Linked DNA regions of Callithrix jacchus. The protein of the gene in region 1 interacts with the protein of each later gene in a pairwise test. Links are inferred from orthologs where the notes say so. Each region holds a gene or a part of one and is shown on either strand. Other genes may lie near its edges.

Region 1 (4,390 bases):
CAAACACCCTTCTGCACATTTTATTTTTTTGAGACGGAGTCTCGCTCTGTTGCCCAGCCTGGAGCGCAGTGGCACAATCCCAGCTCACTGCAACCTCCGCCTCCTGGGCTCAAGCGATTCTCGTGCCTCCGCCTCCCGAGTAGCTGGGACCGCAGGCGTGTACAACCCTGCCAGGCTGACTTTTGTATTTTTAGTAGAGATGGGGTTTCACCGTGTTGACCAGGCTGGTCTCAAACTCCTGACCTCAGGGTCCCCCCCCACCTCCTCTGTGTCCCAAGGGCGGGATTACAGGTGTGAGCCACTGCACCTGGCCTTCCTGTACAATTATTAAGCGCCTTCAGGCTACTGTAACACAGTTCTAGTGAGGAGGGTCTTCAGAGAGAAGAGTGTGTGTGTGTCCGCATCCAGCTCTGCCCCAATCCTGAACCTGGCTCTGGAAAGAATGACTGTGACAACTGCATTTATTAAGCGCCTATTGTGTGCCAGGTTCTGTGCTTTCCCTGAACTGTCTCATGCAACAGCCAGAACTGGGCTGGGTGGGTGTTGCCCAAGGTCACACAGGGAACCTCTGGGCTCAGAAGGCTTGGGACAGCCTCCGTTCTCCTCCCCTGGGGCTGCTATCTGCAGAGAGAGATAGAGGCCACTTGCCGACCAAAGGGCAGACGCCCAAGTTCCGCAGCCCAGCCCTCCCCTCGGCCAGCATCAGTCTTTATCGACAAGCACCCAAGGTCGGGGTAGGAGGGGTCCCCCAGCTGGTCCCAGCAGGCTATGCGGCCTCCGGGCCACTGTCTCCTCTGAGTTTCTTCATGTTACCCAGGGGTGTAGGACCTATGGGTTTAAAGGAGGTGCGGGGTTGCGGGGGAGGGGGATACAGGGGGATGAGGGAACGCCACCTTTCCCCGGGCCTCCCTGGTGGGGGAGGAATGGCTCTCCCAGGGCGTCCCTCCCCTAAATCCCTTTTTCTGCAGGTTCAGCACTGGGAGGATGACCTTGAACATGGGAAGTGTGGACGGGGCACAGCCCCCAAGATTAGCAGCAGATGGGACTGGGGTGGGCAGGGTGGAGGGGGCGTATGCTTCAGACAGAGCAGGCACATAGGCAGCCCCTGCCTCCCTGTACCTCAGCCTCCTCCCTGGCAACACAGTGCCCCAGCCAGCCCGTCCCTGCTGCCTGCCTCCTGGGCGCTCTATGACCTCAATTCCCGCCCACTGGCCCCAGGGATGTGGAAAGGGAGGGCAGAGGTCAGGGGCCTGCTCCCCGGGGCAGGCACAGGGGGCCATGCCACCTGCTGTGCTGTGCACATGGGACCAGGCACCTGGGGACCTCCAGGGTCTGGGAACAGATCTCAGACTGTCCTGGGGCTGCCAGGCATGGGAACTCCCAGATGGTGGGAAAACGGGGGAAACTGGAGTCCTGGGATCTGCCTGCAGGAGGTGCTCAAAAAAGTGGCACTGCCCGCTACCCACTGCGCCCCAGGCTAGAGAAAATCCTTGTGAGTTACTCTGCCAGGCTCCCTGAAAAAGAAGGCAGGGCCAGTGGGGCTGGGAGCACCACACAAAGGGAAGAAAGGCTGGGTACAGTGGCTCCCTCCTGTCATCCCAGAGCTTCGGGAGGCTGAGGATCACTTGAGCCCAGTTTGACACCAGCCTGGGTAACATAGTGAGACCCTGTCTCTTAAAAAAGTTAATTTTAAAAAGTTTTAGGCTGGGCAGGGCCGGCGGCTCACGCCTGTAATCCCAGCACTTTGGGAGGTCGGGGTGGGTGGATCACTTGAGATCAGGAGTTCGAGGCCAGCCTGGTCAACATGGTGAAACTCCATCTCTACTAAAAATACAAAATTTAGCTGGGCATGGTGGCGCACACCTGTAATCCCAGCTACTCGGGAGGCTGAGGCAGGAGAATTGCTTGAACTCGGGACGCGGAGGTTGCCGTGAGCCGAGATCGCGCCATTGCACTCCAGCCTGGGCAACAGAGCAAGACTCCCTCTCAAAAAAAGAAAAAAAAAAAAACTTTTAAAGGTGGAGAGGGAGGCATTTAAGGAGCGATTGCTACATGCGCGCTCTAGACAGTTTTGGAAAGGGGCAGGGCCGCACAGTGTCACCAAGGCGGAAAGGACCAGGAGAACATGGAGTCACAATCGGGGTGTCGGGATCTGGAGCTCCGCGGGCGCCAGTCCAGCCTCCCCCCATCACAGCTGTCAGACGACCCAGCTTCGTCTTAAATATTTACGCGCAGTGGCACTAAGCCATTGAGCCGGGGGAAGGAGACTAGGCCAGCCGGGAGGAGGGTCCTGGGCAGCCCCCCGGTAGCCCCCCAGGGACGGTCCGTTCCCCTCCCGGAGTCCACGGGGGGCAGGGGACGGGGAAACGCGCGGGTCACGGGCATCCCCACCCCCACCCCTCCGGGGCCACCGGGCAACTGGAAGAACCGGACTTCGGCGTGGCGGGCACCCAGCGCCGGGAAGGAGGCTGGAAAGGGGGGCGCGGGCGGACCCCGAGGTCCCGGTCACCCCGCACGCTCCACCGGCCGGACCGGACCCCGCAGCCGGGGAGGGAGTCCGATCCGCGACCCCCGGGCCCGTGGCCTCGATGTGCCCGTCGGCGAAACGGGCGATCGCCGACCGCTCACCTGCAGCCAGATACCGCTTCTCCACCCCGGTCTTGGCCTCCAGCGCCCCCAGCGCGTCGGTGACCAGGTTCCTCTGCTCCAGGAAGCGCTCCACGCGCTGGCTCAGCCCGTCCATGGCCCCGGCGCGCCCGGCGTTGGCTGCTCGAGCTCGCCCGCGGCCCCGCGCGCCCGCCCCGCTGCACGCGCGCAGCTTTCTCGCAGCGGGAGCCGAGCTGTCCGGGCCCCGCGCCGGTGTCCGCCCCCGGCCCCCCGCCCGGACCAATGGGAGGGCACGGCGGACAAAGGAGGTGGGGCCTGCCCCGTCTCCCCCGCCGCATCGCCCTCTGGGGGGGCTGCGGCCGCCACTGCGCAGACCCCGCCTGGAGAGGGCGGGGCGCACCAGTTCAGGGCACCGATTGGCCGGGCGGGAGCGAGACGTAGCTGATTGGAGGGGCGGTGTCAGGGGACGGGATTATTGGCTGCGACGCTGAGGGGGGTGGAGCTAGGGTGAGGCGCGGCACGCGGTGGAAGGAGGAGCCTGTGGGCGGGGCTGGAGAAAAATCCGAGCCGATTGGGGAAACGGTACGCGATTCATTGGTGAAGCCGGAGGAGGGGCGGTCTGATCCGTAAAGGAGGCGGGGCTGATTAGTAGGGGCGGGGAATTGGGCGGGGCTTATTGGAGGAGGCGGGATTGCTCGATAGAGCGATTTTGATTGGGCCGGATAGGAGGCCGGGCTGATTCTCGAAGGAGGGGGTGTGTGGGAAAGTGGGCGAGGCCAAAGAAAGTGCTGGACGCGTTACCACGAGTGACTCCCCTTCTCTGGTTTAGATTATTGTCGTTGTACAAATGGGGGAACTGAGGCTCCCGAGGCTGTGGGTCTGCGGAAGGCCGGCAGGCGTGCCTCCTTCCCGCTTCTGTCAGATCTTCGCGCCTCTCGGCGGGGGTAGCCTCAAGGCCCCCTGGGAGTCGAAGCCTTCCGCGTTGCCATGGCGCCGGGGGCGTGGCGGGCGCCTGGGCCCCCTCGGCGGTTTGGCGGGGGAGGGGCTTGCTCAGGTCCCGCCCCCTCCCCGCCCCGCGTCCATGAGGCCCGCCCCGATTGCGCTATGGCTGCGCCTGGCCTTGGCCCTGGCCCTCGTAGGCCCCCTGGCTGTGGGGTGGGCCTCGTCCCGGGCCCCCATCTATGTCAGCAGCTGGGCCGTGCGGGTGTCCCAGGGGAACCGGGAGGCCGAGCGCCTGGCACGCAAATTCGGCTTCGTCAACCTGGGGCCGGTGGGTGGGACCGGGATGGACAGGAAGTGGGGGCTCGAGGGGACTGGACGGCCCCAGACCCCGACAAGTGGGAGGGAGCCCCCAAGGTCTCCTAAGTATCAAGAGCCCCAGCCCACCCCTGCATCAGCCAAGCTCAGTTTCTGAGGGCACTTGGTGGGGAAGGACAAGGCAGGGGGGTTTCCCGGCCCTCGGGGGCTGCAGCAGGGGAGCCGGGTCCCATCCGTGCGGCCGCTTCCCCACATCCCCAGATCTTCCCTGACGGGCAGTACTTTCACCTGCGGCACCGTGGCGTGGTCCAGCAGTCCCTGACCCCGCACTGGGGCCACCGCCTGCGCCTGAAGAGAGACCCCAAGGTGAGCCTGGCCTGGAGGCCACCCCCTCGGGTCTCAGCCGCATCCTGGGGCCCTAGCCACCTTCTGTGATTCTCGTGGCTCTTATGAACGGCTGTGTGCTTTCTGTGGCTCGGACCCACCCTGATCTCAAGTCTGTGTGACAGGGAAGAGCAGGGAGACC
Region 2 (3,644 bases), on another chromosome or scaffold:
TCTCACAAAATAAAAAAAAGGCTGGGTGCCACAGTGGCTCATGCCTGTAATCTCAGCACTTTGGGAGGCTGAGGTGGGCAGATCACAAGGTCAGGAGTTTGAGACCAGTCTGGCCAACAAGGTGAAACCCCGTCTCTACTAAAGATACAAAAAATTAGCTGGGTGTTGTGGTGCGTGCCTGTAATCCCAGCTATTCGGGAGGCTGAGGCAGGAGAATGGCTTGAACTGGGGAGGTGGAGGTTTCAGTGAGCCAAGATCATGCCATTGCACTCCAGCCTGCAGGGCAAGGCTCTGTCTCAAAAGAAAAAATTGCTGGGCTGAGGTTGGAGTAGTCCAAATGGGCCTTTGGGGGTCCTCCTGTTTGACAGATGGAGAAACTGAGGTGCATAGTGAAAAAATTGCTGAGGTTACACTCAAGGCTTAAAGCCAGGGTGCCTTGATGCCAGAGCCCAGTGGCCAAAGCACACTGCCCCTTTCGGGGGACTAGGAGGCACCTGGGCATGACAGGGTGAGAAGGTATCAGTTGGCGGTCTCTGGTCTCAACTGGCTCTTGCCTTTCTTTCTCAGTTCATCTCAAAGAAGGACCCAGAGGATGTCAAAGAGGTGAGGCTCCTGGGAGGAAGAGGGAGGTTCCGGATCTGGAAACTGACAAGGGGCAGCTGGTAACTCTGTTTGAACACCGGCCCTCCTTCCTCCCCGGCCCTGGGCAAGGCAGTGCTACATCCTGATCCTCACACCCCTTGGGGGCAGACTGGGCATGGAGGTGGCTGCCTCCCACCATTGCCAGTCCCAGGCAAGTCTCGTGTCCCTGGTAGGTGGTGGTCTGGAAGCGGTACAGTGACTTCCGCAAGCTGCATGGAGACCTGGCCTACACCCACCGCAACCTCTTCCGCCGCCTGGAGGAGTTCCCTGCTTTCCCCCGGGCGCAAGTGTTTGGTGAGTGTTAGATCTGGGCACTCAGGCTGAAGATAGAGGGAGTATTGGGCAACGGGGACATCTGCCAGTGGGGGCTGGATAGAGAGGGACTGAAACTCTGGGCAGATACACGTTTGGAAGGACCTTTAGGGATGACCTTATTTGACAGATGAGGAAACTGAGGCTCAGAGCAGCCTAACCCTGTATATTGCACTTTTTTTTTTTTTTTTTTTTTTTTTTGAGACGGAGTCTCACTATGTCATCCAGGCTGGAGTGCAATGGCATGATCTTGGCTCCCCGCAACCTCCGCCTCCCGGGTTCAAGCAATTCTCCTGCCTCAGCCTCCCAAGTAGCTAGGACTATAGGTGCGTGCCACCACGCCCAGTTAATTTTTTAAGTAGAGATGGGGTTTCACCATGTTGGTCAGGCTGGTCTCGAACCCCTGACCTCGTGATCCGCCCGCCTCAGCCTACCAAAGTGCTGGGGTATTGTGCCTTTTAACATTCCTGTCAGGCCAGGTGCAGTGGCTCACACCTGTAATCCCAGGGCTTTGGGAGGCCAAGGCGGGTGCATCACCTGAGGTCAGTAGTTCGAGACCAGCCTGACCAACATGGTAAAACCCTGTTTCTACCAAAAGTACAAAAAATTAGCCAGGCATGGTGGCACATGTCTGTAATCCCAGCTACTCGGGAGCCTGAGGGAGGAGACTCACTTGAACCTGGGAGGTGGAGGTTGCAATGAGCCAAGATCGTGCCACTGCACTCCAGCCTGGGCAATAAAAGCAAAACTCCATCTCAAAAAAAAAAAAAATTCCTGTCTTTATTAGCTCCATTTTCTTTTTCTTTTTTGTTATTGTTGACAGCCTTACTTTGCTGCCCAGGCTGGAGTTCAGGGGGCTCACTGCAATTTCCACCTTCCAGGTTCAAGCAATTCTCCTGCCTCAGCCTCCTGAGTAGCTGGGATTACAGGCATGCACCACCCCACCAGGCTAATTTTTGTATTTTTAGTAGAGACAGGGTTTCACCATGTTGGCAGGCTGGTCTCAAATGCCTGACCTCAAGTGATCTGTGTCGGCCTCCCAAAGTTCTAGGATTACAGGTGTGAGCCACTGCACCCACCTATTAGCTCCATTTTCAAGGTAAGCCAGCTGAGGCTCAGTGAGGTGAAGGGTCTTGGCCTGTAGGTGGCAGAACCAGGATTCCTTGCCACAGCTGCACAGCTAGGTTTCCTGTAGACCTGTGCCTTCCAAAACAGTAGCCACGAGCCCTGTGTGGCTGAGGAACACTTGGGATGAGAGTAGCTGGGACTCGAGGGCACGCCACCACGCCCAGCTAATTTTTATATTTTTAGTAGAGACAGGGTTTCACCATGTTGGCCATGCTGGTCTTGAACTCCTGACCTCAAGTGATCCACCTGCCTCGGCCTCCCAAAGTGCTGGGATTACAGGCATGAGCCACTGTGCCTGGCCGAGATGTTCTTTTGAAGCAAGGTGAAGGATCACTGCTGTCAGGCCAGTGGGGAGTGCCGCAGACTGGCCACACAGTAACTGGACCAGAGTTAGCCTGCTCTGCTTAATACCTAGGACAGAGCAATGAAACTGTGGCTCAAATCTGTAATCTCAGCACTTTGGGAGGCCAAAGCAGGTGAATCAGTCGAGCTCAGAAGTTCAAGACCAGCCTGGGAAACATGGCAAAACCCCATCTCTACAAAAAATACAAAAGTTAGCCAGGCATGGAGGTATGCGCCTGTAGTCCCAGCTACTTGGGAGGCTGAGGTGGAAAGGCAGGTTTTCCCAGGAGGCAGAGGTTGCAGTGAGCTGAGATCGTGCCACCGTACACCCACCGGCCTGGGTAACAGAGCCAGGCCCTGTCTCAAAGAATAAACAGGGAGGCTACTTGCCGTGTGACCTTGGGCAAGTCACTTTACTTCTCTGAGCCTTACTTTTCTCCTCATTAGATCAAAGACATCAGAAATGCTTTTGTTTGTTGTTAACTACCTAGCTCTCCCTGTATAGAATATGATATTCACAAGGGCAGAGACTTGTCTCCCCTGTTCACCTTCTGAGCCTAGCATATAGTAGGTATTCAGTAAACATCTGGCGAATGAATGAATAGGGAGACTGATCCCTCCTGGAAACCCCACCTCACCCCAGGAGGAGCCGGGGAAGACGGCTGGGAAGATGGGTAGGAGGGCAGTGAGTTGCTCAGAGCATCTCTGGCAGGACCAGGAAAAGTGGCTTTGGGGCAGAAGCCACTGTGGGTCACCGCCACTCTCCCCTCTTCCCTGTCGCGGGGGCTGTAGGCCGGTTTGAAGCCTCAGTGATCGAGGAGCGGCGAAAGGGGGCAGAGGACCTGCTGCGCTTCACGGTGCACATACCTGCGCTCAACAACAGCCCCCAGCTCAAGGAGTTTTTCCGGGTATGTGCGCCTGGTCCTTCCACCTTCCCAGAACCTGGGCCACGTACCCGCCACCAGATTGCACCCCATGACTCCCCATGGCTGATCTTTCTGTCCTGCAGGGTGGGGAAGTGACCCGACCCTCAGAAGTGTCCAGGGACCTGCATATCCTGCCACCCCCTCTGATCCCCACCCCGCCCCCTGATGACCCCCGGCTACCCCAGCCGCTCCCTGTGGAAAGGAGGGGCTTCGAGGAATTGGAGGTGCCAGGTACATCGGGGTGGGAGGAGGGAACCAGGGCTGGAGGGTGCAAAGTGGGGAGGGAGCCCACAC
Region 3 (3,644 bases), on another chromosome or scaffold:
CACTGCGCCTGCACTCCAACCTGTGTGACAGAGCAAGAACGTGTCTCTCTTAAAAAAAAAAAAAAAAAAAAGGCCAGGTGTGGTGGTTCATGTCTGCAATTCCAAGATTTTAGGAGGCAGAGGCAGGTGGATCACCTGAGATGAGTTTGAGACCAGCGTGCCTAACATGGCAAAACTCTGTTTCTATTAAAAATACAAAGAATTGGCCAGGCACGGTGGCTCATGCCTATAACCACAGCACTTTGAAAAGCCAAGACAGGCAGATCACCCGAGGTCGGGACTTTGAGACCAGCCTGACCAACATGGAGAAACCCCATCTCTACTAAAAATACAAAATTAGCCAGGTGTGGTGGCACATGCCTGTAATCCTAGCTACTTGGGAGGCTGAGGCAGGAGAAGTGCTTGAACGCAGGACTGTGGAGGTTGCGGTGAGCGAGACTGCACCATTGCACTACAGGCTGGGCAACAAGAGTGAAACTCTGTCTCAAAAAATAAACTAAAATAAAAATTAGCAGGGCATGGTGGCAGGCAACTGTAATCCCAGCTACTTGGTAGGCTGAGGCAGGAGAATCACTTGAACCCAGGAGGCAGAGGTTGCAGTGAGTCAAGGTCATTGCACTCCAGCCTGAGCAACAAGAGCGAAACTCCATCTCAAAAAAAAAAAAAAAAGATAAAGCAAATATAACAAAATATTAACAATAGTCAGTGTTGATCCCATGGTACAAACATATAGTTATTTCCAGTGTCATACTATGTACTTTTCTCTATCTTAAAAAATTTCAGCCAAGCATAGTGGTTTATGCCTGTAATCCCAGCACTTTGGGAGGCTCAGGCTGTCAGATTACCTGAGGTTAGGAGTTCAAGACCAACCTAGCCAATATGGTGAAACCTTGTCTCTACTGAAAAAAAAAAAAAAAAATTAGCCAGGCATGGTGGCAGGTGCCTGTAAGCCCACCTACTTGAGAGACTGAGGCGGGAGAATCACTTGAACCTGAGAGGTGGAGATTGCAGTGAACCAAGATCATGCCTCCTACCTGGGTGACAGAGTGACTCTGTCTAAAAAAAGAGTCTCCCCCTTCCCATACAAATATGCCTAGTGAATAAAAGCAATCCTAAAAGATTACATAATGTATGTAATTTTTTATAAGTTTTATATAATGTTATTTTATATAACAACAACTTGGAAAACACAAAATTATACAGAAATGGAGAACAGATTAGTGGTTACAGGGGTTAGGAATAGGGAGGTGGTGGGAAGGAGGTGTCTGTTTATTAAAGGGCAACGAAGCCAAGCATAGTGGCTCACGCTTACAATCACAGCGCTTTGGGAGGCCAAGGTGGGTGGACACAGGTCAGGAGTGTTCGAGACCAGCCTGGCCAACACAGTGAAATCCTGCCTACTAAAAATACAAAAATTAGCTGTAGGCGTGGTGGTGGGCGCCTACAATCCCAGTTACTTGGGAAGCTGAGGCAGCAGAATCGCTTAACCCTGGGAGGCAGAGGTTGCAGTGAGCCGAGATCGCCCACTGCACTCCAGCCTGGGTGACAAGAGCAAAACTCAGTTTCAAAAAATGAAAAGAAAAGAAATTAGCTGGGCATTGTGGCACATGCCTGTAGTCCCAGCTACTTGAGAAGGTAAGGCAAGAAAAATCACTTGAACCTGGGAGGCAGAGGTTGCAGTGAGCCAAGATTACGTCATTGTACTCCAGCCTGGGTGACAGAACAAGACTCTGTCTCAAACTAACTAAATAAATATTAAAATATTGAAGGGCAACAAGGGGAGCCTTGTGTTGACAGAACTCTTTGTATCTTGTCTATGGTGACAGATACACAAACCTACACGTGTGACAAAACCACAGAGAAGTAAATACACACAAACAAAGTAAAACTGGGGAAGTCTAAATCAGATTGGTGGACTGTATCAGTGTTAATACTCTGGCTGTGATATTACACTACAGTTTTGGAAGATGTTACCATGGGATAACTGTAGAAAGGGTGCATGTGATCTGTCTCTATTACTTCTTAAAACTACAAGTGAATCTACAATTATAAGAAAAAGTAATAAGAGAAAAGGGAAAGAAAGTCTCTTGGTTCAGGGGAATCCTGGGTAAGAGTGAATGTACACTGATATCCACTTCATAATCCAGAATTCCAAGGGAAACATAGTTTGTTCTGTGTAAGTAGCTCTACTGGGAGTTGGTGTAAGACGGAGGCCTGGGGCTGATGAGGATTCTAGGTTCTAAATAACAAATTGGGGAATCAATCATTCAACAGGCAAGACTAGGAAGTCCTCTCATTGAATGAGGGATCTCTGATTGTCAAATGGTAGCTGGTTTGGATGATGCCAAGAAGATCTAAACCCACTTATTCAATGGAGGGGGGAGACCCTACAGTAGAAATGACATCTCAAGGACCTCACAGCAGTTGGTAGTTGCAGAAGCATCAAGAGCAAGGTAAAGAATCCCCAGGATAAGTGTGCATCCTCTTGGATCAGCCCAGCAAGCCTTCCTGCTCCAATGTACTTCCCTCATTCAAGATGCAAGAGAAGCCGGGCACAGTGGCTCATGCCTTTAATCTCAGCACTTTGCAAGGCCGAGGCAGGCAGATCACTTGAGTTCAGGAGTTCGGGATCAGCCTGGCTAATCTTGTTGGTTTTTATTTTTGTAGAGATGGGTTCTTGCTATGCTGCTCAGGTTGATCTCAAACTCCTAGGCACAAATAATCCTCCTATACCATGTACTCTCAAAGTGCTGAGATTACAGGTATGAGCCACTGTACCCACCCATAGTTTCTATAGTTTTCAACAGACATAGCTCACTAGTTGGAGAGAGATTTCTGGGGCAGCCAATTAAAACATGGTAAGAGAAATGAGAGCAATAATAATCTGACCAGGTGCAGTGGCTCACCCCTGTAATCTCAACACTTTGAGAGATCAAGGCAGGACGATCACCTCAGTCTGGGAGTTTGAGACCAGCCCAGGCAACATGGCAAAGTCCATCTCTTCAAACAATAAAAAATTAGCTGGGCATAGTGGCACATGCCTGTAGTCCCAACTACTCAGGAGGCTGAGGTAAGAGGATCACTTGAACCTAGGAATTCGAGGAAATGAAAAGAACAGAAGAAAAGAAAAGAAGGCCAGGTGTGGTGGCTCATGCCTGTAATCCCAACACTTTGGGAGGCCAAGGCAGATGGATTATAAGGTCAGGAGTTCGAGACCAGACTGGTCAATACGATGAAACCCTGTCTCTGCTAAAAATACAAAATTAGCCAGGCGTGGTGGTACATACCTGTAATCCCAGCTACTTGGGAGGCTGAGGCAGGAGAATTGTTTGAACCTGGGAGGTGGAGGTTGTAGTGAGCCGAGATGACGCCACAGCACTCCAGCCTGGCAACAGACCAAGACTCTGTCTCAAAAAAAAAAAAAAGAAGAAGAAAAGGAGGCAAAGAGAAAAGAAGAGGCTGGGTGTGGTGGGTTATGCCTGTAATCCCAGCACTTTGGGAGGCTGAGGTGGGCAGATCACCTGAGGTCAGGAGTTTGAGACCAACCTGGCCAACATGGTGAAACCCCAGCTCCACTATAAATACAAAAATTAGCCAGGTATGGTGGTGCAGGCCTGTAATCCCAGCTACTTGAAAGGCTGAGG

Evidence for each region.
Region 2: the proteins of REEP6 (region 1) and SNX15 interact in binary tests that used the Homo sapiens proteins (3 or more experiments, as listed by UniProt). The two-hybrid records come from large-scale screens. The link is inferred for Callithrix jacchus from reciprocal best matches to the Homo sapiens genes REEP6 and SNX15.
Region 3: the proteins of REEP6 (region 1) and PTPN9 interact in binary tests that used the Homo sapiens proteins (3 or more experiments, as listed by UniProt). The two-hybrid records come from large-scale screens. The link is inferred for Callithrix jacchus from reciprocal best matches to the Homo sapiens genes REEP6 and PTPN9.

The regions. Positions count from the first base shown.
Region 1 is NC_133523.1:1,412,762-1,417,151, reverse strand, and holds the start of REEP6 (receptor expression-enhancing protein 6), read right to left. Parts: upstream 2,826-4,390; 5' UTR 2,744-2,825; coding exon 2,629-2,743; intron 1-2,628. Other genes in the region: PCSK4 (proprotein convertase subtilisin/kexin type 4), read left to right, coding at 3,689-3,877, 4,126-4,230. UniProt on the Homo sapiens protein: Required for correct function and survival of retinal photoreceptors. Required for retinal development.
Region 2 is NC_133511.1:122,105,052-122,108,695, forward strand, and holds part of SNX15 (sorting nexin-15), read left to right. Parts: intron 1-567; coding exon 568-603; intron 604-815; coding exon 816-936; intron 937-3,216; coding exon 3,217-3,332; intron 3,333-3,433; coding exon 3,434-3,581; intron 3,582-3,644. UniProt on the Homo sapiens protein: May be involved in several stages of intracellular trafficking. Overexpression of SNX15 disrupts the normal trafficking of proteins from the plasma membrane to recycling endosomes or the TGN.
Region 3 is NC_133509.1:22,363,147-22,366,790, reverse strand, and holds part of PTPN9 (tyrosine-protein phosphatase non-receptor type 9), read right to left. Parts: intron 3,405-3,644; coding exon 3,288-3,404; intron 1-3,287. UniProt on the Homo sapiens protein: Protein-tyrosine phosphatase that could participate in the transfer of hydrophobic ligands or in functions of the Golgi apparatus.